Linked DNA regions of Astyanax mexicanus. The main gene of each other region encodes a partner of the protein of the gene in region 4 in a complex. Links are inferred from orthologs where the notes say so. Each region holds a gene or a part of one and is shown on either strand. Other genes may lie near its edges.

Region 1 (6,793 bases), on a different chromosome or scaffold from region 4:
TTTTTTTTTTACTGCAGAGTTTTGTATCACCTACACCTGTAGCCCGGGTAAAGGCATGTTCATAGGTTGAGTTCTAAAGTCCATAGAATTTTTTCATTTATGCATGGTATTTGCAGAAGGCACAAAATCTGCTGATTGCAAGTCTAACACAACATGTGGGAAGCTTTCAAATGTTTAAATGTTTTTCTTAAACACCAGGACAGGGTTTAAAAGATTCCAGTCTTTTTTTACCTGGTTCATCTAAGTGTTCTCTTCCAGGTAGTTCCTCAGGCTTGATATCTCCCAAATCTCCAGTCTTGGGATCAATAGTAGCTTTAGAAAGTTCATCTTCGAAAGCCTGCAGGTCTTGAGCACTCGCTACACGCTCATCTTTCTCAGTGAACACACGGATGATGCCATCACTGTGAACAGTTCGCAAATCAATGTAATTAATAAGTGTCTACACTAGTTTTCAATAATAATCAACTGTCTGAAATGTTTGAGTACAGCTGATTTTGTAAGTGAAAACACAATGTAGATCATTTGTGTACCTGGCTCCTACAGCGATGTCTCCATTAGGTAAAACACAGCAACACCAGACTGACTGGGTAGGTAGACGGATTGTCTGAGCACATTCACCATTTTTCCAGATCCTTACTGTGCGGTCCTCTCCTGTGCTTACGAAGTCTGAGAGAGAGAGAGAGAGAGAGAGAGAGAGAGAGAAGAAGCTTTGTCATGAATTCATATTTTAATACAATTATTTACTAATCATTCAAATTAACTGACAGTTAGAGATGTCCCTGATCCAATCATGTGATCGGAAATCAGGATCGATAACATAATTTCAAAGGGTCGGAATTGAGTGAAAAAGTTCCGGATGACTGATGTATCAGATTTCTGAGTGGGTGTACCCTTCAGGCGGAGTGATTAGGACGCTGGTAGGCTAGGAAAGCGGGTATGTGATGTGTATCACCTGTTTTCGAGTATGCTAGCATGAACACTAAGCCAGCAAACTTATCGATCCATCAACTATTTTTTATCCACGTTTCATTCTCCTCTTATTTTTCCTAGTACAATATAAGACTTTCACAAACACATTTTTGTAATAAAATGGTATTTTTGGATACAGTTTCAATAACAATTGCAAATACAATTTATTAAATAGACCTTAACGGACCACTTGGATGTGTTTTTTTGTTTTGTTTTGTTTTTTTACTGCATTTCTAAAGTATTGGATCGTGACTCGGCAGATACTCTAAATGTTATTAGGGATTAGGAAAGTCATTTGACTTTTTATTATTTTTCTAATAACAAGTGCCACTGTCCATTTGTAAATGTAAATATAAGACTATAAAACTATATTATTTTCGCCATTGTTCACATTACTCTCTTTAGAAAAAAACTCTATTAAACAAAAAACTACTATAAGTACTAAAATCCTCACCTTGTCCATTTGGAAAGACAGACAGACTGTAGATATAGTTAGTGTGACTGTAGTATACTTGAACACATTCTCCTGTCACCATCCATCGCCTGATGCTGGCGTCATTACTACAGGACAGGAATTCAACATCGCTCACTACAGCTAGTCCTCGAACACAGTCCTCATGACCTGCAACAATAAAAAATAAATAAAACACACACAATCAACTCAACACTGACCTCTTGTGGTTCGTGTAAAAAACGAAACTGAATCTGATCATTTAAAAAGAAAAGCACACAGTCTAGCTCAGAAGAAATGAAAATGTAAATGTCTATGAGGCTCACCTGAATATGTTCTCTCACAGCGTCCAGCTTTCCAGAGTTTAACAGTCTTGTCAGCCGATCCTGTGAGCATAAGTCCCTGCTCTGGCAGAATCACCACAGCCCATACTGCTGCTGTATGCCCCTACATACAGAAACAAAAGCAGACACACCCATACATTACACACACGCATATTAAAATAGCTCAGGACAAAGAATTCCCAAGCAAACAGAATTCAAAAACAAATAATTCTTCAGTTCTTAAGGCAGAATTACCTGTAAAGTCATCATACACTTGTCACTGAGCCAGACTTTAGCTGTGGTGTCCCATGATCCACTCAATAACGTCCCAAACTTCCCAGCTGAGAGTGTGCACACTGTGGACAGCAGGATTAGAAACTTGGAATGAATAAGTGGCCATAAAGGTTTTGGTCACTCTATAAATATATTATTTTTAATCCATTATTTAAAAAAGAAAAATCAAATAATCACAGCCTTGACTCTTCTTGATGATAAGATGAGAAGGACTGTACTTATGTGTATTATAAAGCACTACACCTGTGTTTTTGTGTCCTGTCAGAGTAAACATAGGGTCCGGTCTGTCTAAGGAGAAGACGCAGATAATGTTGTCATTGCCTCCTGTTGCAATAAGGCCCCTGGGGTAGGTTTCATTGGGGGCGATGATGCAGACACAGGAAACGAAGTTCGTGTGGCCGTTCATACAGTGCATCTCCGTGTAACCTCTAGTTTCACTACAGAATAAGAAAATACAAAGCAACCAAGACACGTTTTCAATTATAGCTTGTGAACACCTGCAACATGCTCGCTGCTCAAAGTAAACACTCCACTAACAACAGCGAGAGACAGTATTAATAGATATAGAGTCAGTAAGCCGATGAGCATGCACATGCACATTCCAAATCTACTGTGACATTTCACAAATATGCCACGTACATAACTAACAGCAAAATCTAAAACTGAAACCTCAGACATCCCTTCTGTTTTAAGTGTCATTGTAGTTTTTTTTTTTAATAAAATAAATTGCTCAAGGCTTCTACAGACGTTTTAGGGTAGGTCTGTCACAATTAACTACTTTTGATTGGATGGTATATAGTCCCAAAAAGTACTGTGACAAATATAGCTGGACAATATACTGATATTTTTTTATATTATGATCAGTTTTTTAAACCATATTGAGGATATCATCAGTACAACATTTTATTACAGAGAGTATAAAAAATCCTGTTTAATTGGATGATGTGCAGCAAAATAAAATAAGAATCACTATACTCTGTGTTTCAAAATATTAATACTGTACATCATATATAAAAATATAATATTATTACCATATCACCCAGCTCTATCAGTGCATGATCATTTACCAAAATATAAGAACTTTTATATCAGAGCCCAGCCTCTTTATTAACAATATTATTTAATCAATTAATCTAAGCTAGGCCTGTCACGATAATTATATAATCGATTTATTGTATAGTAAATACCTGAACAATATTTGATTACTGTGATATTGTCTATTGTGTGGCTTGTATGTTTGTTCACATATAGGTCATAACAGTGAACAGTGTTTTAGCCAGTCATGCAATGAGCAATGTTTTAATAACTGTGACTCCCTACACTTAGTGTGGACTACAGTAGGTAAAGTATATAGTTATCAATCAATGATTAATTAGAAATTGGTTGTCTTTAAAATTGTAACATTATAATTTATTAGTTAAGCTATTCTGTTATCATTATGTCAGTGGCATTTAAATGTTCTAAAATTGAGAATAATACCGTTTATCGCAACAATTTCAGGAACGATATATCGTTCACAAAATAGTATCATAGTGGAAGGAGTAACGTAAGCTAGTTAAACCATGGTTACAGTGTTGAGAGCTGCCCGGCCGGCCGCTCTGGTTGCTATAAACACTGTTAGCGAGGCTAGCTGGGCTCTGTTGTTAGCTGTAGCCTGCCGGCTAAACCGGCTACCTTAAATTTGGAGCCCAGACTCTGGCGCTTCGGTCCCGCGACACGGAGACGAAACCTCCCTCAGGGAAAACCGCGGCGGCAAGGCCCCTAACATCCATCTCATGGCCCGGGATGGAGCAGCTGAGCCGGTAGGTGCTGGGAGAGGCCATGGTGTAAATTCAGAGCTCCGCTAAATCAGCACGATAAAAAACAAAACTCATTCAGCCCCGGAACTGAGAGAGCACGAGCGGCCCCGTCCAGCAGAGAGGGAGAGACACTACAAAATAAAAGACCCCGGCAGCAGAGACCGAGAGACACTCTACAAAAGAAAAGACCTCCGCAGCAGAGATGTAGAGACACTACAACATAAAAGTCCCCTGTACTAAAATATTTGATATTGTTCTGTGATGAGGAAATAAGTACAATTTTTAGTATAAAAAAGATTCAACGTTTATAAACTATCAATTTGCTCAGTAGCTCTATATGAACCAATTTCATTGTTGACTCTGGGAGCGCCCTCCGATGGTGTATTACAACCTATTCTTCTTTTTAGAAATAACATGTTAATTTAACAATACCATTGTTTTTACAAGATATTTTTAAATAATTATGTTTTTGTTTTTTTATTTATTTATTTTTTTTTTAGGTTTAAGTCCAATCAGAACGCATACTAAAATAAATAGCTGCTAATGCAGTTACTGGCAATGAATGGGTTAATTTCCGAGTGCTGAACTTGACCCGGATAGAGTTAGGTTAGCTAAGCTAGCTACCTGTCTGTTCTGTCTTTCTCAAGGTCCAGACATGTCGAGAAACCTGAGAATAACACTCATATTCGGGGGCTTCGTAACCGCAGTGACTGCAGCTTTTTACCCGATATTCTTCCACCCTCTTTCTCACAAAGAGGAGTACAGTGAGTTAATCAGCGTTTCTAGTTTGCTGTGAATAACTAGTTTGCCAGTGATGTTAAATAACGTTAGCTAACTGCTCTCACCCTTTAATAACCAACTGTCATATAACCGTATGTCAATATATTAAAAGGTTCTTAATTAGAAAGATAGATTCCCTACCGCTAATTATATAGAAACATGTATGACTATAACTAAGAACTCTTATTTTATCTAGTTAGCTACATTTTATTGTATTTTATTTTATGGCGTGGCCAGTAACAATGTAAGCTAAGTAAATATGTACATATAAATGTATTTTTGTTGGGAACTTTATTTAAACAATATCTATCAATCCACAGTACAATTCAAAAGTTTGGACACAGAAAATCGATTTTTGTTTTCAGTGAATCGATACAGAATCGTCCATGTCCGAATCGAGATGCATTTAAGAATTGAAAATTTCCCCAGCCCCCAATTTGTTTATTACTTGTATTATTTACTACATTGTAGATTAGTATTAAAGACTCAAAAACAATGTGGAACTCTATATGCAGTTAGGTAGAAGATAAAAAAGGGGTTCTGCCTTCACAAACACCTGACATAAAAAATCCATCCCAGGTGGTTTGGGAAGAGATGGAGCTAATAGTAACGGAAAAGCAGTTAATAAGAGCTTAGTACCTCTAGGAACTTATTTATTCCAGGTTCTACCTCATAAAACGCCTGAAAGAATAATGTGAAGACATTCTACTTTTAAGAATCTAAAGTATAAAACATATATGATATTTTGGGTTGTTTAACACTTTTTTGTTTACTTTCCTATGCGTTCCTTTATAGTATTGATTTCTTTATTAGTAATCTACAATTTAGATAATAATAAAAAATAATAATAAAAAAAAACATTAAATGAGAAGGGGGTGTGTCAAAACGTTTGAGTGGTACTGTATGTCAGGCTTGTTTATTAATCCTAACCCAGCATTGCAGTGATATGAACCTTTGCAAACCTTTGTGAGGTCGACCTCAACCACTCTGTCTAATGTTAAATCCTAAACTTCTACAGGGGAGATCCAGAAAATCAACCGAGCTGGAATCAATCAAGCAGATATTCAGCCTGCTGGTATGTCTGGTTCTTCTGCAGTAAACATTCAAGTACTGTATTATGTGTAGCTAAAGCTAAAAGCTTAGGAAACATACAGATGGAGAAACAGTATGTATGGCATGTGTCTTTTCATGCTTTGCGATTTCTCTATTTTAAGGAGTGAAGGTCTGGTCAGATCCATTCAAACCGAAGTCATGATGTGATGCAAGGCAGTAGCAGAAACAGATGGGAAAAGAGATTCATGAACATAAAGACATCATTGCAAATGTCTGGGACATTATGCACTTCTCACTTCAGTGTGACTGAATGAACCATTTAACATGCAAGCGAGTGAAAGAAGCTTATTCCCTGGAAGACTCCTAATTTTCCCTGTTTAGTTTTCTTGGCTGTAACACGTTAACACTCATTCAGTCTTTGATAGCTGGCCTGTGTATTACAGGAAAAATGGTACAATTCTGGAGTAAGGCCATCATCTGGAAAAAGTTACATTGGGGGAAAAAATCAGTAATATGTAATACCTGCCACAATATTGTGTCATTCATTGTCATATGTTGTAATGTATAGAATGATTTATTCCTGAATGAAATAAAATGTGATTTTTGGAACTATCTAGTATGTTTGTGTTTGTAATGAAGCATGCTGAGCTCTAGGGGGAGCACAAAGCCTTGTAGATCCAATAGGTCACGTTCAGTCAGAGTGACTTATTCATGAGATACAGTGTAGCATTATATGAATGGTTTCCATTGCAAATGATATGAAGATATGGGAAATTTAAAATGTTTTTCTATTTAATATTTTGTTTATTAATAATATTAATAACCCAACATTCCAACAGGCCATTTAACATTATTTGCAGCATATTTATTTATTATTTAGAGCATAGCTAAGTAGCTTTCAAACACAACACTGAAAGATGGGATAGGTGTGGTGACTAAGCTCCAGGGAAACAGATGTGATGGGTGCTGTGAGGATGTCAGAAGAGACACTAATCAAGAGCTAATCTACAAGCACAGAAGCACAGATGTGTTTAGAGGATTAACCTTACCAACTGAAGCTTAATAATTAAACGATTTCTCTGGGTTACGATGTTATGGTGTTGGCTTCTTCTTTTACGGACATT
Region 2 (7,832 bases), about 39 Mb from region 4:
ATGAACTGCATGATATCCAAGTAGGTAATATAAAAACCATTCACTATATACTGTAATATACTGTGTATTAGGCGGTAAGTAGAACAGTAGTAGGTCATTAATGGTATGGCTAATCAGTCTATACAATCAGTATATACATGCAAAAATGTTTAGGTTTATACCAGCCATGTATTAAGAAACCCTGCCTGTTATGCACTACTCGATCACATTGTACACATTTAGAATTCATTGCCAGTCCTGAATGAACAGGAAGAGCATTTTCTCATACTGTCTGTGGTAATGCATCGACTCGGTTACATGAAGTCTATGTTTTCATGTCTGTTGTAGTCACAGTGTAAAATGTGCTCTGTCTGTGTGTCTTTGCTCACACTACATTATGTTGCATTGTCTCCATCATGTAGACTTCTTGAAAATAGTGCAGTCCTGGATCAGTACGAACGAGCTTCAGAGAAATATGAAAACATGGACCGGAGATTTACAGCAGCATGATGGCACGGACACTGTAGTCACAGGCATAGGGCCTACAGAACACACTGCAGATGTAAATGGACACAGTAGCAGAGAAAAAAAAGAGACTTTTAGATTGAAATTGCTTGAAATATCTAAAACTTGAATTTTGGACGAGCATTATTTAATCCATTTGCCCTTTTTTTAATTATTCAGGCCGTTGGTTGACATTGGACAAACACACTGTATTAACTGTTATTTTACTTCCATTATAAGAATAAGTGTAAACAGAACTTTCCTGTTGCATGCATTTGTTATTCTTCCATAAAAATATGTTTTTTTGTTGTTGTTCTTTTTGTTGTTTTTACACCGGATAAACAGTGTTGACACAGATTATTTACAGCCATATCTATAGTCTACATATATTTACCTCAGGCCAAGAGAAACATTTTTGTCTTTTTGCATGTCTTATGTCTATTTGTCATTTCGTTTAACAATTGATCATACTAAGTTAAATCCAAGGCATTGTGAACTAAACTAAACCCCCCTTAGAAGGCAAATTACTGCACTAACATATGCATGCTTAAATATTTAAAAAAGATAAAATATGTGTGGCTAAGTTCATTTTAAAAATGTTTTAATTAAATTAATTAATTTTGCTGTATAATCTATTTAAAGTGCAGGTGCAAAACACACTCATAAACTTTTGCTACATTTTGGTGGCACATAATATTTGTACACAAATTTTTGTAGCTGTTTGAAAGCTGGACCACCTTTAACACAGTTTATGTATGCATTAAGAAAATAATAAACTTTGACAAGAGCCCCTTTCATGTTTTCTTATGCCGGCTGAGCCTAAATCCTAAAGCGTTAGTTGGTGTCCCTGAACTGGGATTAATATGATGTCATTGGCATGTTGTGAAATAAAATAATTAAATAGCAAACAAATTTGTATAAATTGGACTGATGATACTGTGATGATTGTCTTTTCCAATTCCAAGGACAGATCATATGCACACTGCCTCTGCTACTAACAGGTAATGCTAATACCATTCTGTGATTCAGTGATGCATTAGAATTCCTGTACACATATACACACACACACACATATATATTGTTGCTAGTGATGTATGGTACCAGTCAAATGCTTGGACACACCTACTTATAGAACCATTTTTGTTTTCTTATTTTAACTTGTTAGTTCCAGCATTTTATCAAAAACATGAACATGAGTTTTATTTGTGTGTGTTCTGATTTTTCATATTTTACATATAAGCTAAAAATATATAAACACCAAAATTATGTGAATTCCAAATGTCATGGAACAGCAGTACATAATTTGATAAAGTGTTACCTCCGGGAACAGCTTGGGACCACCCACAATTTAGTAATAATATGTGAGGTGTTGTGTTATCAGTGAGGATGAAATTTGGCCAGGGTGCTCATGGCAATGCGGAGTAAATTTTAGAGTCAGAGTGGCATGCCTTAGACTCGATTGGTTTATCAAAGTGAGGGCTCTTGTCCTAAAAACTATATATTTGCAAACTATTATCATTGTTTAAATGTCTGTACTGCTGTATATTCCTAAAACCAGAATTTGTACTATTTATTTGGATCTTAACCTTTAGAGCACTAAATAGCTCAGCTAAATAGGGAATGGAAGCTAATTGTTACCAGTTTGTATGATGTCATTTGCAAATTCTTAATGATGACTTTTCACTTTCATCATTTCATTGTTATCAACAACATTGGCATTAGACCTATCCCTTTAAATATATGTAGCCTATAGCCAGATATCTGGAACCATGTTTTCTATTTTTCTTGTTCAAAAATGTGCACTGCAGAGCGTAAAGAAGGACATGCTTGTCTTCAGGGTTGCCCTAATAGTGTTTTTTTACTTTTTCAACAGGCAGATGCATCACTGCCCTGCGTCTTTCCATGTTTGACAGCTTAAGGGACTAACTCGTAACATCCTCCTACAGACAGGACTGTCAGATTCAGCGAATATTAAGTGGGGCAGCGTCTGCTTCTCATCTGATTGCCTAGGGCCTCTTGGCTTTTGGTGGACGACACTAACTTGTGTTCCTACATTGACTTTAACCTGCTCAGCCACTGAACAGCATTGTGGTGCCTAGAGAGTAGACAGACATAAGTCTACATCTCCTGACTGCAAACTGAAATCCAGGGGCGGATTGGGATGTTTGGGGGTGGGGATACTGTACTGGGAATAGGATGGGGATGTTGGTTTGTTTTTTATTCATTTTCCATTGTTTTAATTTTTATCCATTGTGTGGGATATGAAACAAATGTAATTATTTTTTCTCTTTTGTGACCTTTAAGAAAAGAATCTAAAGCTAAAATGTGAATCTAAACTTTACTGAATGTCAATGCAAATTTGTTCCTTTTCCTAAAGTAGACTTGAGCTGCACAGGCCACTGGAGTCGTGTTGTCATTTTGTAGTCAGTGCCCACATTATAAACTCTATGTAGATTCCTCTCTCACATAATTAATTTCCTAGGTTTTGGAAAATTGTGACTTTTGTGGTAAACACACACATTTTAAACCCTACAGAATTTTTTCTATGTGTATTTTTTATTAAATGCCCCTGTATCCTCTGAATTATACACGTTTTGCTAGTTACAGACTAAGCCTAACACTGCAACACACTGAAAAGACTTGTTTCACCAAAATACTCCAAACAAACCAGCCAGCTTTATCAAATAAAGAGAGTTAAATGTCTCTGGTAGCGATAGAGTTTGAATAAAAATGTATATTTTACTGTAGTAAGCTCAAAAAGTAGTTGTTGACATAAGCACTGTGCCATGTCAGTGTGCAGGAACGTTAGCTTAGCTGTAAGCATAGATGTAGCATTAATCAGTCATTTGTTTTGACCCATTAGATGTAGCAAATGAGGATCCAGAGACATTTAGGGGGGAAACCTTAAAAAACCTTAAACCTCATTCATTTGTGTCCAAAAGAAATTCACCTCAGCCCTGGAGTTTATAATATGGGCTAACTAGCTACAGAATTGACACAAATCATCTGCGGTCTACTGTTATTATTATCACCTGATAAACAGATATCAGTTATTTGACCTGATTTTCTGTGATCTGTTTTTCAATTTCCTAACCTCTGCCCGCTAAGTGCACATTCACTAAAAATTAATTATTAGATTCAGATTTGACCAAAATCTTTAGAAACTGGTCAGCAGGTCTTGTCTATGCATATTTGAATAGAAAGAAATGTTACTACAATCATATATAAGCTGCAAGGTATTGATCAATGGTATGAAAGTAGATCACACATCTTTTTTTTTCCATATAAAACATGAAATGTCTGTATGTTCAAAACCTGCTCATTTGCCAGAAGGTCTACTTGGGTCAGCATTAGGTGAATCATAGACAAAATGTTTTTTAATAAAAGACATGAATAATTCTGTCAAAATTCTTGTTTCAACACTGATTATTAGTATTTTTGAATGTTTTCTTTTTTTTTAATACAGCAAAAGTGAAAACAGAATTATATTTGTTTTTATTTTACGTAAATTGCTTATTTGAGACCAAGAACCAAGAATGTTATGGTTAGTTATTTGTTAGTCATTTTCTCTTATGCATTTGTTTGGATTTAGCATTTTTCTGTTTTTGGTTTTTATTATTAAATACGTTGAAAGACAATACACTCAGCACACATGACTGCACCATGTGAAATATGAGGAGATTCAGGAGAATACAAATAAAACTCATAAACTCCAAAAACATAGAATGGATAGGGAAAACAAAAATTTTATTAAATAACACATATATTCCATAGGATTTCAGAAACCCTGTGTTTTTAATCTTAAAACCTAATCTCAGCCATAAGCAAAGAGTACATTTATTTCGTTTAACTTGCATTTATGCATTAAAAAATTAACTAAAATTAATTAAATATTTAATACAACATAACTACATTTTCCATATATTTGTCTATTTTGGAGAGATAGCAAATAACATTCTTAAGAAAGATTGTTAATATTTAGTTCACAGAAAGAACAAATATTTCCAGACAATGATGTTTAGTTTCTTTTGTAGTTTTAGCGACGTTTGAACAGAGTTTATTATGGAAGTCAAAACACTACAACTCCCATGATCCTCAGCTACAAGAAATGCTGTGAACTCGCCAGACGTCAAGACAAAGTTCATTATAAAAAAAATAAAAGTACCCCAACATTTAAAGATAAAGTGTTTTAATAAGGAGAAATATGGCCTGTATTTATAAAAGTGACGATGTTTGTAATAAAGTCCACATTTACTCATAAGTGTAGATTTATAAACAGGTTTATTTTGCTAATCACGCTGTTATTATCGGAGAGGACTTTTATTTTGAAGGGGGGATTAGCTAGCTGGCGCCAGTGAGGCTATGGCAGGCTGTTCCAGTCATGAGTGAGGAGTGAGATTGTTGTGTTGTTGAGTTTTCTGGGGTCACGGTCAGTTTGACCATTTTCAGTCTTTGAAAGAGAAGCTGCTTATTTCACTGCAGCTTAAAGTGTAGCCTTACCGATTAAATAACAAGCTGGCTAGTGCTATGTATCTCCCAGACCTGTGCAGTGTTTAGCCAGGCTATCTTTTCTAGCTAGCTATCAGTTAAATACAGTGAACCACAGCAGCAGGTTAACTCAGTTACCTTACTGGTTCTTAACCTCGGTTATAATGGTTTATTCACTCCTGTTGAGAAGTGGCAGGACTTCACACTGTGTACAGCACTTACTGAAGCGTGTAAACATCCCCCCATCTCTACAGGTGTCACCTCTGCAGGTGAATAACCCTGTTTTAATCCAGGTAAAGTTCAATAACTTGCCCTTAACTCGGTGGACATGCCTGCCTCGCTGTGTTGGTGTTCAGACTCGAGGTTTCCACGCTGGAGGTCAGTGCAGAAATGCGAGTGACCCTGAGGGACAGGGCAGGGGTCGAGATCAGGTATCAGTCCACAAGAGCCAGGCCTCCTCTGGAGTCTCAGCTGCACAGAAAGGTGGGTTCAGGGGGTGTGTTACAGCTCATTACAGCGATTTTATGCAGAAACTTTAGTGTGACTTTAAATGTGCTGTGCTCTGGGGTTGTCTCCCTCCTACAGTCAAACAAGCTGGCAAAGATTTTACCTATCTGATAGTGGTGCTCATTGGTCTTGGAGTTACAGGTAAGATAAAGCTCTAAATTATTCTTTATTTTATGGATGCTTATTTCCAGTAGACAGGCTTTCTCTTATTTATTTATTTGCATATATATATATATATATATATATATATATATATATATATATATATATACACACACGCAGTGGAATATAAAGTATTTGCCCCTCTGATACCTTTCTGATATTTTTTTATAATTATCAAACCGATCTTAATATTAAAAGCACTTTTTAAATTATTTTTTTTCTTTTAATAAATAAAACAATCTTGCCCTGTGTGAAAAAATATTTGCAGTGCTTCCCTTGGTGGCAACAACTGCAATTAAACTTTACTGATAACTGGCAATAAGTCTTTTTCATCTCTGTGGAGAAATTTTCGTCCACTTTTCTTTGCGGAATTGTTTTAATTCAGCCCCATCTGAGCTTTTTTTTAGCATGAACGGCCTGTTTAAGATCACGTTGCAGCATCTCAGTCAGACTTTGACTAGGCCACTCCAAAACCTTCTTTTTTTAAGCCATTCAGAGCCTTTCAGCCTTAACCAATGCCTATTAAATGTTAAATAAAGGTTGTTTTAAGGTTGGTTTTCCATCATCAACCTACTAGGTCACAGTCAAAAGAATACGTAAATAAATAAATAAAAAAAAACCTGGCAACGATAGAAAGGGGCACAAAAGATTGTAATACATAGGTTTTATCGCTGGTTATTTCAGGATTTATGATTCTAAAATTATTCACCTGTTTTTTGCAGGTGGACTTCTTTATGTCATCTTTCAAGAACTGTTTTCATCATCCAGTCCAAGCAAACTCTATGGGAAAGCTTTTGAAAAATGCAGATCACACCCAGAGGTCTAATTTGCTAATTTGGAGAATGTCATTATAAAACTACACTATTTTTTATTAACTTATTTATTTCATGAATACATAAAATTTTCTTCTTACTTTAGGTAATTGGAGCTTTTGGTGAGCCCATCAAAGGCTATGGTGAGACCACTCGCCGGGGTAGGAGACAACAAGTTAGGTATGATGCAATAGCAAAATAATAGTAGACAAAATAATTAATATTTAAGAGAGTTGAGTTATAAACCATACAGTTTAATTTTTTATATATTTGACTTAACTCCCTTAATGTTCTCATAGCCATATTGAATACGTGAAGGATGGCCAGCAGCACATGAGGCTGAAATTTTACATTGAGGGTTCAGAGCCAGGACTGCACGGAACTGTACATTCAGAGGCAAAGCAGGTGAAATTCAAAATTCTTGTTTACAGTGTACACTAATGTGTTTCATTGCTGGAATTTATCAGTTTAATCAGATGAGATTTCTAATATAAAGATGTTTCTGGATGTTTGTCATTCCACAGAATCCTGAGACGGGGAGATATGAATTCCGCTACATATTTGTGGATATAGACGCCTATCCCAGGAGGACAATCGTGATTGAAGATAACAGATGAGATGGTTTTTCAGTGAATCCTGAACAGATAGAAACCTCTTCAAGCTCCCAGTGGAACTCTTACGGTGAACTTGTTTGTATAAAGCTAGGTTTATGTGTAGGGTAATGATTTCAAAATGGCAGTATTTCAAATAAGCATTAGGGGGAGTTCAGGTTTTCTTGCCTTCAGATGTCATATCCTGGTCATTTTTGTGAATACAATTATATCTATGTACACTGTAGGACCTGAATCATTTTTAAAGATTTTTAATTAACTCAAATTCTATGCATTTACACCGGGCATCCACATTGCTTACTCTCAGGTCAGTGGTCAGTTTGACTGCCATTAAATGGGCCCATTTACTACTGCCACATTTCATTCATATGTCATTCTGGGTAATTTCATTCACTATATTAAAGTAACTGCTTCCAGATAAGCAAAGAAAATGAACTCACTCACATGCTTGCAAACTGCCTTATTTGCACTGGTCCTTGGCCAGCTTCAAATAATACATATTAAGATCTGTTTTACTTCATGGATGTGAGCATTGATTTGCCATTCAGTAATATTGTTTTATTACAATAATAAGAAATAATGGCCATATTTGAATTTTGATTGCCAAGAAATAAAGCTTTTGTGAAGCAGGGTGCTTTAAAAATGCCAAGAAACAATTATTTTCTAACTTTTTGTAAACAAAAAAATAAATAATAATTATACATTAAAGATCAGATGATATGTTGGGGATGATCTTATTTGAATTGGCCTGGTTTCAACTTTCACTTAG
Region 3 (6,941 bases), on a different chromosome or scaffold from region 4:
TATTTATTTATATATTTATTTTTACCTTTCGGTACTCAATAGTACTGAGACATTGCGGTTGGTGTTTTTTTGGTATCTAGTTTTAATACCAAGCTCTAATTAGTATAACACTGTACTACGACCTCAAGTAAATAAGTCATTGGTCATTTAGCTAATTAAAAAATACCATGTTTTTTGTACAGTTTTCTGAAAATATGTGGTGTATCCCTTTTTTAGAAGGCACAGCTGGACACTGTTGCCCAAGAGAAACGAGAAGCAAGAAAGACCATGATGTTTCCTGTGGAACAAGCTGACTTCAGCACAAACACAGTGCAGATATTATCTTTAGCTTACCCTTCTGCTGGGCGAGCTCCCACAGAGCAGCTGCAGAGCTGTAGTTGGTGGTCATTGGGTACTCCACGCATACGTGCTTCCCTGCCTCCAGAAACTGCCTGAGAGGAAATGAAACCGTGTGAGAAACATCACAGCTAATGTACCTCATAATATCACAATATTTCATTTCTGTTTGAGTCCATCACTCAGCCCAGTATAATGAGTATCAGAAGACTCTCAGAGGACTAACAGGAAACCCCTCTTGAGAGTTCAGCAGTCAATAGTTGTCTTACCTGATATGCTCTTCATGGCTGGTGTTTTCAGTGCAAACAAAGGCCACATTAATGTCATCCCTGCTTAGAGCCTCTTCTAGAGGGATCTGCTGGACTCCCTGCTGGTCCTCCATTGTCCTCCTAAACAAAACATTTACAGTCAGTCCCCCATACTGGAACTTTTCACCCAAAAACAATTAGTAGATAAACACTCCTTTCTCTGATGCAATGGAGTGAGATAATTGACATCATGATCAATGATCAGTCAGCACTGATCAATAAACACTTCTGATTTAATACAGCTTAACATATAGTTTAGAACAGACAGAGTTAAGAGTTAAGTGAAGGCTAGATGATATGCTAATATTTGTAGAGTTTTAATATTATATATATTTTTATTGTTTTTAGGGGTAGGAAATACAGCTCTGGAAAAAAATAAGACACCACTTAAAAATTATGAGTTTTTTATTTTTATTTTACCAATTTAAAACCTCTAGAATAAAATCAAAAGGAAGATTTTAAAATGTAATTTAACTTCGAGCATGGCATGCTCTAACCCAACGTACATATCCTTCTGAACTGGGCGACTGGTGTAACAAGGGCTGGGGTGCTGCTTATCTCTCGGCTCAGTGGTTTTCTTATCTCACAGTTTAGGAGGAGTTACCACTATTACCACTATTAACTTACTTTCAAAAGTGTAATATGATCAATTATGATTATTTAATGAGTTCCTTAAATATTACGCCTTTTTTAACTCTGCTATCATTAACATCCATATTTTTTAAAACAAGTACTGTAGTATTTAGTTCTGGTGATGGCATTTTGTTATGTATTTTTTTATATATGTTTTAGGACATCTTCTCACGTCTATTAGAATTAAATTAAAAAAATTCTGAATCACAAAACATATTAATAACATTTATAAAACAACTTGCTATGACAACTGATTAATTAAAATGTTTTAAAAAAATGACTGTTCCACACTCCACCAAACATCCTGATTGACTGCATTTACATCTTTATTGTTTAATTATGCACACATTTAAAAAAACCTTTCTCCATTCTAGGGGAATGCAACTGACCTGGACACAAATCCCTTAACTGTAAACTTCTCCGCGGCGCTGGAAGGCAGAGGAGCCAGCAGGTCTCGAATCCGCACCCCCCCGGCAATGCCCAGGCCCACCACCACAGACCCCAACATGTTACCTGTGGACAAGAGCACACAGTCAGTGGGCAGCATAGCAAAAGTTCGAAGACACATGGGACTATTAAACTATTAGATCAGTCAAACAGCATTATATTACTATAATAATATTTGTTATTATATGATATTGGGGTGAATTAATAGTGACTGACCAAACAAATGATCAATTTCTGCAAAAATGATGCTAAATTTAATTTTGTGTTTTTAATTTTGGCTGCAACAATTAGTTGATATAATCAAATCAACAGTGTTTATTAAATAAATTTGTCCACTACAAATTTTATTGTTGACTAATCGTTAATTTATAACAGTGCTGGGGACACAAACTGATTACATATTTACTTACTAAATATCAATACTTTTTAAGTTTAAACAACATCTAGACATTTAAATGCATTTTAAGTCTCATATTCAGCTGTTCCTATTGTTTTTTGAGATGGAGGACGTTGCAGGAATAATCGTGGGATATATTATAACTGTTTAATTATAATTTTTATATTTATTATAATAATGTACAAACTAATGTAGAATTGCTGTTATCAATTACATTATGGGGTATATTATGACTGTTTCCATTTTTTATTTTATCCACATTTCAAAAGAAGAAAAATAATTGTATAATTTGCCATTTAATACTGTCAAACATACTTTTACATTTATTATTTTTTATTTCTCCGTTCCACCTTAAATGCTGCATTGTTTGCGCTCTGGCGCTTGTTCAGGCTCTCTATTGTAACTAGCTGAATTTAAGGTGGAACCGGAAATTGCAATTAGACCCAATTCGTTTTTGTTTTAAAATGTAGCTGAAAGGATCCTGTGTTTATGAATGTAACACAGCATGGGTTATACTGTAACAGATATGTGTTTATCTCTATAATCCGGCCTTTCTGCGCGCTAATATCGCTTCGGCTACCTAATATGGTTTAAATACAAGGAGGCTGGGGATGCCAGTGTGGTGTATAAAGCGCGTGCATGACAGAAAGACACGAGGCGAGTCTCTGAAGGACATTTACACAACGACATGCTAAAACCGCTTAGTTAGAACTGTTCTAAAGCCCGGAGCGCTGTCTCTTACCTCTGAAAGTCTGCGCGCTGTGCTGTCCGGCTGCGCTGCTGCTGCTGCGGCTGCAGTGATATAACTCTCAACTCACAACTTTCATAACTCGCTCTACACAGGGGAGGGCTGCCTGCACGGGTTGCCAGATTGCGCATTCTGACTCCCTCCAGTGAATGCTGCAGAAAGAGTGCTTCTGGAGTTTTCCCCATTATCTTCACATTTGTTTATTTCTTATTTCCCAGACTTTATGCTTAAATTAAATTCAGTATTTCTGTAAAATTGTTATTATGTCTGCACTACGTTATGGGGTCTAATGATGAGATGAGTGGTGTGTATGATTTCAACCAAAATGTAAAAATATAAAAAATAAAAGTAAAAAGGGAGATTAATATTAAAGACATGAAAACAATTAAGAGACACATATGGAATTACGTAGTAAACAGTGCACAAAATGTTAGTCCTAAGAAAATACCAAGAGTGTGCAGATCTGTCCCAAAAAAGATAAATGTTGTTCTTAAAGTATCTAAATCTAAATCTATGTAACAATCTATATAAGAATCTAAAGTATATTTTGGTTGGTTACATTTTTTTTTTTGTATACATAACAGTTTAGCATGTGTTCCTGCGTAGCTTTAATATATTCTTCAATATTAAATTTACAATGTAGAAAAATTCTCACTAGTTTATTAGTCTGTAGGATCATTTTTCTATTCTGTAGTATTTGCCACAAAAACAAAAAGTGACAGTAGTAATAAGACATTTGGGTATTAAAGCTTTGTCTTATTATTTTAGCTTTAGCATTAAACATTTATGCTCTTGAAAACATGTTTGGGAAAACAATTACTATTACTATCACTATTACTATGATTACAACTATGCATTTTATTTTCTATGCTCTTTTTATTATGTTTTTTGTTGCTCATATTTATAGTAAGAAAAGTAGTGACCTGATAAACTTCTGATAGACTGATAGACTATTTTATTTTCAGCTGTATTATTATTATTATTATTTTTATTTTATTTTATTATTATTATTATTTTTTTTTTTTGTGATTTTGCTGTGAATCCGGGGATTTAAGGGTTAAAGAGGGTCATTCGGTTCAAAACAAACATGGCCGCTCCCATGCGGCGGTGAGGGAAAGCCTGCAGTTTAGAGGGACGGTCAGTTAAACTGGTTTATTATCACGAGTTAAAGCTTAGCTTCAGCTCCAGATTTACATTCATATACAGATTAATGATAGAAAAAGGCTGGAACACTGGATATTGTCTAACGGGGATTTTGCGTGCTTGTGCTGAACGTTACGCAGATAACGCAGAGGGAGATTTTATCAATGCTGGGTTTTAAGGGTTTTAAGGGTTTTGGTTGATGACCATAAGTCAGCTATATGTTTAATACTTTGTTAGCTTATTAACTAGTTAACTATGGGGTTAAAGTCCTAACCATTGTTTAATGTTGACAAGAAGACATAGAAACAACGTTCTGATGATCTGATTTATGATCTAAAACGCGACCTATAAAGAGCAGCAGAGTAAATACATATTATTTATCAAAAACAAATGTTTTTTTCTATTTTTATTTAACCTATATTTTATTTTTTCTGATTTCATTTACATAGAACTGCCTCCTTTTCCGCATGTTCTAGCTACCGTACATCATTTTCGTTTTTGGGAGGGAGCTGTTGGTGCTAGTGAATAAATTAGTGAAAAAAAGTGTGATTTCTGCACTATTAAAATAAAATAATTGTTCACAAGTTACAAAGAATTAAAGGGCACGTAAACCCATTGATTTTTACTGACTCCACCCTCAGTGCAAATAAAACAAAAATACAAAAAATGAGAGGGTAGTTTGGAAGCTGCACTGTGATGGTGCTGGTGATGTATGGGTTTAGGGGCGGGGCAGAAGGAAGAGCTGATTAGGATAAGCAGGAGGTTGGTATTATTGATTGATTGATTGATTGATTTGCATATTGTGAATATCCTTCTACCAAAGTACATGGAAACATCCTCGCCTATAGCGCAGTTAAAACTGAGAATTATGTTGCAGAGGTGGAAATTACTACAATAAACGTGTTTTTTTTTTTAATTAGGAAATGTTTATCAGATTTTATTCTGGATCGACATGTTTCATTACTTCAAAGGAACACATTTCAGATATTAATAAAAATATATAAATGGTTATAAATATAAAAGGATTTGGTGCACCCTTAAACCATAATAAGAGCCCAGACCCAATTCTGAATGCTGGTGCCAAATTCAAAGTTGAATCAGATAAATTCAGTTTCTTACTGCGGGCAAAATACATATTATTTTAAGATTAAAATTATGATGTAACAACAACCATTTCATAACATTTTATTTCAGAAATCAGATCAGACCTAGTTCTGTGGAACATAAAACATTTCATTAAAAGATTTTAATTGTTAAAATGGTTGGAATAGATCAGTAAAAGCAAAAATACACTTTTTAAAGGATCTAGTTTTGCTTTAACTCCAGCACTAACTCTAAAGCACTTTAGCATTCTGTAAATAAGGTGAGATGAACAAACACAGATTAACCCTCTGTCTGGTAGTGATGCTCTCAGGATGTTCATTATGTGTCACTTAGTGGCACTAAACTCTAAACCACAATTTTTTATTTTATTTAATTTTATTCATATTTTGTTCATTTGACGTAATAAAACGTAATCCATAGTTGAGTGGATTATTTTAAATTAAGTGCAGTAGTTACTAAAAAAAAGAGGACTGGGTTAATAGATCAAGGCATTTTGTGTTTTTGGCATTTTTACTTTTTTTTTTTTTTTCAGGTTTGCTAAGATCGTGTGAGATCCAGAGGGTATGAGAAGATGAGCCGCTCCACCAGCCTGCTGCAGCAGATGACAATATTTGTCACTGTGATGACTGGGGGAGGATGTGGCATGATGTACTACCTCATGCAGAGTGAGCAGATAAACACAGATTCTATTAGAATTTGAAAGAGAATAATTTGATTGTGGGCAGGCATTAGATGTCAAGTGCCATGTTTAATATTATTATACTTCTGTGAGTTCCGACCCTGCAATGCGATTGGCTGAGAGGCGTTCTATGAGTGCTGTTATCAGCCGGTAATGCACTCTAACCGAAGCTCTGTGTATTACTCCACCACAAATAAACAGTTTTTAGTAGAGAAATCTGTGTAGACTAACATCCAGCACTTGTTTGGCTTTGAAAAAAAAATGTGTTTTTTTTATTACAGTTTTTTTTATTTAGGCACTTCCCCCAGCTTCCCTATTAGAAGGGAAACATGGCGACAGCCTTGCTCACTTCAATGTAGGCATCCTAACTAGTGTTGTTTAATTTGCCTTATAATCCGAAGCTCCTAATGTTTGAAAATAGACCAGAAAAAAGATGTTCATTGATAGTGCAGTTTATAATCCGGTGCGCCTTATAGTCTGAAGGAGTATTAGGAGTATTTTATCCTCTTCAGTAACACAGATGCTGTGAAATATTGTAGAGAACTGTCTAAAACATATGAAGTTTAACAGAATCACAGTATTGTGGTGTGATTGTGATTGTGGGCAACATGATCATATTGTACTGTGAGATGCCCTTTTGATTGTATACATTGTATTTTCCCCAATTCTTTTATTTCATAACTTTTTTTTAAATGATTTTTCCTGTTTTTTTTTTCTCATCTTTTTTTCTTCCCAGAAAACTTCGCTAAATCAGAGTATTATAGGCTGGCTATTGAGCAGCTGAATGAGAACTCCACAGCCATGGCCAGCCTCGGGGCTCCACCCCTGAAGATCCATAATATCCACCTGACCGATCGGCACAACCGCGTGGACCACACCCAGGCTCAGGTCAGACTTATTCACTGATAGTGTTGATTATTGAGCGTATTCACGTTTATTAATCTGAAAAACTCACAGATTTGGATCTACTGTTCTCAACTTCCAGCTGAAAATTCCAGTGACTGGACAGAAGACTGGGGGCTATCTGTACACAACATCCACCAGAGACTCGGTGATGAACAGGTACAGTGCTTCTTCACCTGCCATCACAAACAACCTTTTAAAAATACAAAATGATGATTTAAAAAAAAGAATAAAGATAATTAT
Region 4 (7,753 bases):
TTCAGCAGAATCCTTATAGGGTTTAATGGAAGATGGGAGTGCCATCTGTGTGCCGCCCGGGCCGGAGCCAGGGCACCGTCTTTAGCATGTGGCGTGAGGGGGACGAGGGGCGGGGTCTGCCGGACAGTTGGGCGGTCGGCGGTTGGCCGGGGCGCTGAGCCGTGCTGTAAAAGGGTTTAACTTTGCTAACCTTCACCGTGCCAGCCTGCCGGCACCTGCTGGCACCTGCCGGACCCTGCTGGCACCTGCCGGACCCCGCCGGAGCGGGATATTGCGCCGGGGAGATGTTGGCAGGCTTTGACGAGTCGCCGATGTGATGTTATTAGATTCTCCGGTGCACTCTGACCCCCCCTGCTGGCAGGGAGGATCAGGCGGTAAATGAAGGTGAAGGTGAGTGTGTGTGGGCAGGTGTGGCAGACCCTCACCTGCCGGGAGGGACTTGACTTTTGTCGGAACCCTCCGGATGGTCAGAGGCTCCAGCTGAGACCTAATTAACCTCAAGAGGACGGGCAAAACCGAAGCGTCCCCGATTTTCCATCATCATGTTCCTGAAGCAGTGCGCATTAGTACAAGTTTACAATTTAATATACAATTAAATACAGTATAATTGTTATTACAATATATTGTACTCAATTATATAAATAAAGACTTCTTAAAGATTTCTTGTGCAGTTAACTCATAATCTGTTTTCAATATCTGTTGACGGTAGGACTGCAACTAATGATTATTATTAGTAGTCGACTAATCTGACGATTCTTTTTTTGTTTCGATTAGTAGATTAGTCAACAATTATTTCTATAGAAAAAGCAGAACATGAGATTTAAATAGCATTAAATACCTGAATGTTGTTTAAATGTGGAAAGTACTGATATTTAGTGATTAAATATGTAATCTCCCATTTATCTCCCATTGCGCTTCTGTCCCCAGCACTTTGTGTAATGCAGTATTTTTGCAAATTAACGATTAGTCGACAATTAAATTTATACCTAAATAAAATACCTTTATATGGGTCAATGTAATGTAATGTAATTCTTCAAGTAGTTGACACTCAGAACTCAGAAAGTTTATCACAAACCGTTGCATGGATTTGTTCTTTTTTTGCTGGCCCTTTTGTATTTCAGTGTTTAATGGAATATATTTAGTCAGCTTAGGGTTAGTCAGGAAAGTGAGTTGAAACAACCTTTCCACTTCCATGTTTTATATGTCACTACAACTCAGTAAAACAATAAATGACTATAAAAATCCTACCAAATTCAAATAACTTATTTATTTAAGTATTGGCCAAAGGCCCTCACAATTACTTTTTAGAGACATGTAAAAGAAATAATAATTTAATATACCACTTCGTTGGTATTGAATGTTGAATGTAGCTTTGACTCCTAAAAGAAAAACTCCTCAAATCATTTTATGTCCCTATATTGTATTGGATGGACACATGTGGGCACATTCTATTTAAAAAAGAACATTATAAAAATGAAAGGGAAGTAAGGTGTAATAACCATGCCATAGAAGGTTAAGATGCATCTGCAGGAAGAATGGAACAAAATGACACCTGGACCTCGTCATCACGTTGTATTTTAACTCTGTGGAACTTTTATTTGATTGTGTATTTTATTGAAGGTGATGCGGTGTAGAGATTGGCGTGAGAGGACAGGGCTTCAGGCTGGTGAAGATGGTGAAGATAGTGAAGATGACACTTCAAAGGGTTTATTTAACAAACAGGAGGAGGAGTAACCGCAGGCCGGCCGCAGCTCCTCGGGGTGGAACGTTCCGGCGCTCTTTCCACTGCGGTGGTGAGCTCTCGCACGGCTCTCGCGCAGACTCGTGGTCGGGTTTGAAGTGAAGCTGTGGTCGGGACTGTCTTGAGTTGGGTAGACTGAGTGTAGCAGGTGCAGAGAGCAGCTGCCTGAACCGTTTCCAACACCAGAACATGCTCAGCGGTACCCCCCAAAAACACCAGGTATACCGGTAAAACTCTACTGAGTACTGAGTACTGAGTACTGAAACCGAGGTTTAATCCCAATTTTATAACTGATTTTAACCCAATTTCCAGTCAGTCTGCTTCCAGATATCAAAAACCACTCTTAATCGTTCCCATGTTCATCCTAAGACGTTTGAGCCAGCACCCCGGTTGCTGAGTGTAATAAGGCAATAGACCCGAGATGCACATGCCAACACCCCGGTTGCAGAGTATACTGTAGTATAGTAAACTCCAGCATGCTAAGTATAATACAAAAAACATCCCAAGATATTTGAGCCAACACCCCGGTTACCGTGCGTAATAAGACAATTGGACCCCGGTTGTTGAGTGTAAAATAGGAATCTGTCCGAGTCGTTTGAGCCAACACCTCGATTGCCAAGTGTAAAAAGAGAATTGGCTCGAGTCGCATGTGTCAACACCCCGGTTGCTGAGTATAATGTGGCAATCAGCACATCTGTTAGTCCCAACAACCTGATTGATGAGTATAATATAGGAATCTGCCCAAGATGTTTGAGCCAACACTCAAGTGTAAAAAGATAATTGGCCCGATCACATGTTTCACCACCCTGCTTGATGGGTAAAATATGGCAATTGTCCCAATCCACCGCCCCGGGTGCTGAGTATAATATAGAAATCTGCCCAAGACGTTTATTCAAACACTCTAGTTGCTGAGTATAATATTACAATTGTCCCAAGTCGTCTGTGCCAACACCCAGATTGCCGAGTATAATATAATAATCTGCCCAAGCCATTTGTACTAACATCCTGGTTGCTGAGTATAACATGAATCGACCTGAGTTGCATGTGCGAACACCCTGAATGCTGACTATAATATAGCACTCATCCCAAGTCGCATGTGTCAACACCCCAGTTGCTGAGTATAATATGGCAATTGTCCCTTGATGTTTGTGACAACACTCCAGCTTGCTGAGTGTAATATAGAAATCTGCCCAAGCCTTTTGTACCATAGACTGTGTATAGCTGAACAGAGCATTGTCTCTCAAAAGTGAAGCCACCACAGGTCGGGCGCCCCCTGCTGTTCGGTTGCAGAAAGCTTTTTAACCCCTTTTTTTCAAATATACTGTAATTCTACCTCCATTATTTAAATCTAACAGCTAGTGTAAGCTCTGCTTATATCGCCAAATGTATATATCCCCACAGAATTCGTTTTTTAAATGTTATTCAGCTCAATTCAAAAAGGTGTGGTTATTGTAAAAGGGCTGGTTATGGGCGGGACCAATAACAGATCGTCAGCTCCGCTCCGCTCTGCAGCCTGTGACCTCGAGGCAGCCCTCAGGGGCGGAGTTATTCAAATGAGTAGGCTGTCTCTACACAGTCTTTCTCCCTCCTCTGGACTCTACTGTGCAGTCTCGGGTATGGCAACATGGCGGAAGATTTTGGCTTCGTTTTCATTGAATGAACGGGAACGGCGACACAGCGTCCATCTTTTTTTACAGTCTCTGGTTTGTACAAACACCCTGGTTGCTGAATATAATATGGCAATCAGCCCAATATGTTTTTGCCAACACTCCAGTTGTGGAGTATAATATATGAATCGACCTGAGCAGTATGTGCCAACACCCTGGCTATTGGATAAAATATGGAAATCGGCCCAAACTGCTTGCATCAAAACACCAGTTGGCAAGTAAAATTTGGCCCAATTCTTCATGGCTAATACCAAGTCTCATCTGATGCTGCTTTACATCAGATAAGGCAGATCCTTTATGCTATCTGAACAGATTTCAGGACAGTTGGAGTTACTGTCTACCTTATTCAATATCTTATTATTTTTTATTAAATTATTTAAACAACCAGAACTGTAATTTAACTGTCTTCATGAATGTGCCTTAAGACATCCCAAGACTTGGTGATGGCTGAACAGGTTGTAAATAATTTATTATTTATTATTTTGTGCGGCAAACTGTGATTTTTAAAAAATATTTATTATGGTTGCGCTTTGCAAAGCAATGTTAATATCATAGCAACCCCTAGCAACCAACACAGATACCATAGCAACACCTCAGCAACCCCCTACCAACCACATAGCAAGGTCACAGCGACCGCCATAGATTTCATAGCAACAGCTTAGCAACCACCTGGCAACATAATTGCAACCCAAAAGAAACCACTTAGCAATGCTATAGCAACCACCACAGAAACCATGGCAACAGCTTAGTAACCACCTGGCAACACCTTAGCAAACACCTGGCAAACACTTAGCAATGCCAAAGCAACAACCACAGATACCATAGCAACTATTTAGCAACGCCATAGCAACCATCACAGATAGCATAGCAACCACATGGCAACACCTTAGCAACCACTCAGAAACGTCATACCATGACCTGGGATACCATAGCGACCAACTGTAGTCGTTTTAACTGGGCATCAATCCTGCATTTCAGTTCAGTCATTCTATTACTAATTCTCTTTAAGTAAATCAACATTTTCCCAGCTCTAAAAACATTTGTGCTGTAATTTAATATTTTTCAAAACATGAAAAATATATAATTTTCTAGTCACGAATTTTAGGGGTGACTTTTATTTTGAAAAAAAAAAACGCATTGCAAACGGTTATTCAATTCTATATTAATATGTGTATTTGATATACATGTACTATTTATTTCTCTAATAAATGATTATTTTTATGTAAACAAATATAATAATAATAATAATAATAATAATAATAATAATAATAATAATAATAATAATAATAAAGGACTTTTATGAAGGACTTTTATTGGTGGCACTGTGGGGGCGCGGCTTCGCTGGAGCAGCAGCAGCGGGGTCACATTAGCTCGCGGCTAAAGCTAAAGTCTGGTGTTTGTTGGTGTTTTTCTGATTTATTATCAGTTTTTAGTTTATTAACAGGCTCATGGACTCTTCTAAATCAGGTAAAAATCACCCGAGCTGCTTTTCTTCACAGCGCTGCTGAGAAAACAGGATATTTAGCGGGAAAATGAGCTGAAGTTAGTTAGCATTTCTGTACTTTAAGGGCAAAGTTGGGCTAAAAGAGCGAAAATCGCCTGAATTCGAGCTTAAAACACACAGTTTAAACATGAAACTGATATTAATAATCAGTTATTTCTGTCATAAAGACGAGTTTAACCTGTGTGTGCTGTTATAAAGCTAAATATCTCCTTATAAATCTTGTTGAGCTGTTATAACTCTCCGTTCCACCTTAAATAGTGCAGCAGTTACATACAGCGTGGCTGCAGCATTTAAGGTGGAACGGAGAGTTCAGCAGTGTTTAGACAACTTAGCTTTTATTATTATTATTAAAATAAATTAAAAATCATATTCTCCGTTTAAATGACAGTTTGGGGTCATTTTCAACCTAGAAAAGGGATTGTCAAAATATTGGAAACACCCCCACGTTCACTTGGTGTTTCTGTTATTTTGTCCACCCAAGTATTAAACGTACTGGTAATGTAGCCAATTACAATTACATTTCTTGAGTTAATTTTACTCATTTATTTTTTAAAGTAAAATTACAATATGGAAATATTGTTACGTTAAAGTTTTGGAGTTCATTTTAATAGAATTTCAAAAAATGGCTATTGTTTGAGTGTCTCGCATGGTGTTTCTGTTATATTGGCCGCACACCTCTAAAACATTTTTGTAAAAATGAAAAAAAGTCATATTAAAATGTCATTGGTTAATATAATTTTATTTGATTTTTAGTGTCAGATTTAAATTACATTCTCTTGCCAGTGTTTGAATTTCATTCTCATATTAATGAATGATAGATTTTTTAAAATAAGTCTCTGAGAACTTTATTATCAAATGTTAATCATATTATAATTCTATTTAGGTTAGTTTTATCAGAACTTAATTTGCAAAGTTGAATTTAATCTGCATTTTATTTGCAAAGTTTAATCAGATCCCTAGCAATATTACATCTATTGTTGAATTAAAGTTTCAGTTCTGAAGTTAATTTAATTTCAATTTCAGTTTCATTCTTAAAGTATTTTTTGTTAGAAATTCACTCTCACTCTTAAAATTACACCCACACAATCTGCCAAAGTGTTTGAGTTTCGTTCTTATGGTAATGTAGGATAAACTTTTATTTTTTAAGTAATTGTTTTTAGGTTTTATAATTAAAGGTAGGTCATATTAAAATTTCATTCAAAGTAAATGTTATCAGAATTTTATATTCAATGGATAATTTTAATAGAATTTCATTTTTAATTGTTAATTTCAGTAGAATTTTATATGCAATGGTTAATTTATTGCAAATTGGATTTGCAAAGGTAATTCTAGCAGAATTTCATGTGCAATGGTTTAATTTTACCAGAATTTTAGTTGCAGTGTTAATTTTTGAGCACTGCCATGTATGTTAATCAGTGCAGTTATTTAGTGGGCGGTTCTGTTTTCTCAGGTGAGCCTCACCTGAGGCACGTGGAGCTGGACGTGCTGATCCCGAAGATGATGAGGGAGAAGGCGAAGGTGCGATGTTCTGAAGTGGTGGAAGGTATGGAACCAAAACCTCACAGGATTAGAACCCAGAGATTCTAGAACATAGCGGACCCACCGGTGCTTACTACTGGAGTTTATAAATCCATCAGCAGCCGGAGTCTGAGAGAGAGAGAGAGAGCAGTAGATCATGGTGTTAATGTTAGTAGGTTTTATTGCTGAAATGAAACCTGATAACCAAAATTTTATAGCTTTTTAATTTTTTTTATTTGTGTATACTGTGTGTAGTGTGTGTGTCTATACTGTGTGTAGTGTGTGTGTGTGTTTATTCTGTGTGTAGTGTGTGTGTATACTATGTGTGTTGTGTGTGTGTAATAAACACACAGTGACATTTAGATCGGGATGTTCCAGAGTTCAGCGTTTCCTATAAACAGCTCAGTTTCAGCTCTGTGCTCCTCAGGATTCCGCCAGTCATCTCTGAACCCGTCACCCTGCCGCAGATACCATCGCTGACGTTCCCCGGCGCCGTGGCAACGCCGACCTTTAGCACCCCGACCCCGTGGAACACCCAGAAACCACGGCGCTGTGTCTGGAACTGTGTTACGCGACCTCTCGTGGAGAACTAGAGTAACTGTGCCGCAAAGTCTTCTTCTACAGCTCTGCTGTATTGTAGTCCGAACTTGTGTTCGTCCCGTTAGTTTTGGTTTCACACTGCAGTTTAGTGGTTGACACGCTGAAAAACTTTACTACCTCCTGTCAACATCACCTACGAATGTGGGCGGAGTCTCACTATACTCAGCACTGATTGGTTTGTAGAACGATCCAAGTGAATTCTGTCCCTCTACCAGAATGCGTCTCTCTTCGAGCACGGGTCACTGTCTTGTCGGAAGACCCATTACCTAGAATGCAAACCCATCTTTCTGACACTGTTATATACAGCTCTAAAAAACATTAAGAAACCACTTCAGTTTCTGAATCAGTTTCTCTGATTTTGCTATTTATAGGTTTATGTTTGAGTAAAATGAACATTGTTGTTTTATTCTATAAACTACAGACAACATTTCTCCCAAATTACAAATAAAAATATTCTCATTTAGAGCATTTATTTACAGAAAATGAGAAATGACTGAAATAACAAAAAAGATGCAGAACTTTCAGACCTCAAATAATGCAAAGAAAACAAGTTCATATTCATAAAGTTTTAAGAGTTCAGAAATAATCAATATTTGGTGGAATAACCCTGGTTGGTTTTTAATCACAGTTTTTTCATGCATCTTGGCATCATGTTCTCCTCCACCAGTCTTACACACTGCTTTTGGATAACTTTATGCTGCTTTACTCCTGGTGCAAAAATTC

The links.
Region 1: cmc1 (region 4) and smim20 share a complex: the UniProt entries of both Homo sapiens proteins name them as parts of the MITRAC (mitochondrial translation regulation assembly intermediate of cytochrome c oxidase complex) complex. The link is inferred for Astyanax mexicanus from reciprocal best matches to the Homo sapiens genes CMC1 and SMIM20.
Region 2: cmc1 (region 4) and timm21 share a complex: the UniProt entries of both Homo sapiens proteins name them as parts of the MITRAC (mitochondrial translation regulation assembly intermediate of cytochrome c oxidase complex) complex. The link is inferred for Astyanax mexicanus from reciprocal best matches to the Homo sapiens genes CMC1 and TIMM21.
Region 3: cmc1 (region 4) and cytochrome c oxidase assembly factor 1 homolog share a complex: the UniProt entries of both Homo sapiens proteins name them as parts of the MITRAC (mitochondrial translation regulation assembly intermediate of cytochrome c oxidase complex) complex. The link is inferred for Astyanax mexicanus from reciprocal best matches to the Homo sapiens genes CMC1 and COA1.

Annotation. Positions count from the first base shown.
Region 1 is NC_064415.1:23,373,206-23,379,998, reverse strand, and holds smim20 (small integral membrane protein 20), read left to right. Parts: upstream 1-4,429; 5' UTR 4,430-4,491; coding exon 4,492-4,600; intron 4,601-5,634; coding exon 5,635-5,691; intron 5,692-5,830; coding exon 5,831-5,871; 3' UTR 5,872-6,278; downstream 6,279-6,793. Other genes in the region: plaa (phospholipase A-2-activating protein), read right to left, coding at 232-401, 531-666, 1,424-1,591, 1,747-1,867, 1,999-2,099, 2,281-2,474, 3,712-3,860.
Region 2 is NC_064408.1:91,587,787-91,595,618, forward strand, and holds timm21 (mitochondrial import inner membrane translocase subunit Tim21-like), read left to right. Parts: upstream 1-4,808; 5' UTR 4,809-5,135; coding exon 5,136-5,454; intron 5,455-5,556; coding exon 5,557-5,619; intron 5,620-6,362; coding exon 6,363-6,460; intron 6,461-6,558; coding exon 6,559-6,632; intron 6,633-6,751; coding exon 6,752-6,857; intron 6,858-6,976; coding exon 6,977-7,069; 3' UTR 7,070-7,664; downstream 7,665-7,832. UniProt on the Homo sapiens protein: Participates in the translocation of transit peptide-containing proteins across the mitochondrial inner membrane.
Region 3 is NC_064415.1:54,745,154-54,752,094, forward strand, and holds the start of cytochrome c oxidase assembly factor 1 homolog, read left to right. Parts: upstream 1-3,918; 5' UTR 3,919-4,006; intron 4,007-4,427; exon of another isoform or gene 4,428-4,774; intron 4,775-5,648; 5' UTR 5,649-5,687; coding exon 5,688-5,781; intron 5,782-6,531; coding exon 6,532-6,683; intron 6,684-6,780; coding exon 6,781-6,857; intron 6,858-6,941. Other genes in the region: blvra (biliverdin reductase A), read right to left, coding at 334-431, 606-725, 1,667-1,785. UniProt on the Homo sapiens protein: Component of the MITRAC (mitochondrial translation regulation assembly intermediate of cytochrome c oxidase complex) complex, that regulates cytochrome c oxidase assembly.
Region 4 is NC_064408.1:130,761,532-130,769,284, forward strand, and holds the start of cmc1 (COX assembly mitochondrial protein homolog), read left to right. Parts: upstream 1-4,732; 5' UTR 4,733-4,856; coding exon 4,857-4,875; intron 4,876-6,362; coding exon 6,363-6,455; intron 6,456-7,753. UniProt on the Homo sapiens protein: Component of the MITRAC (mitochondrial translation regulation assembly intermediate of cytochrome c oxidase complex) complex, that regulates cytochrome c oxidase assembly.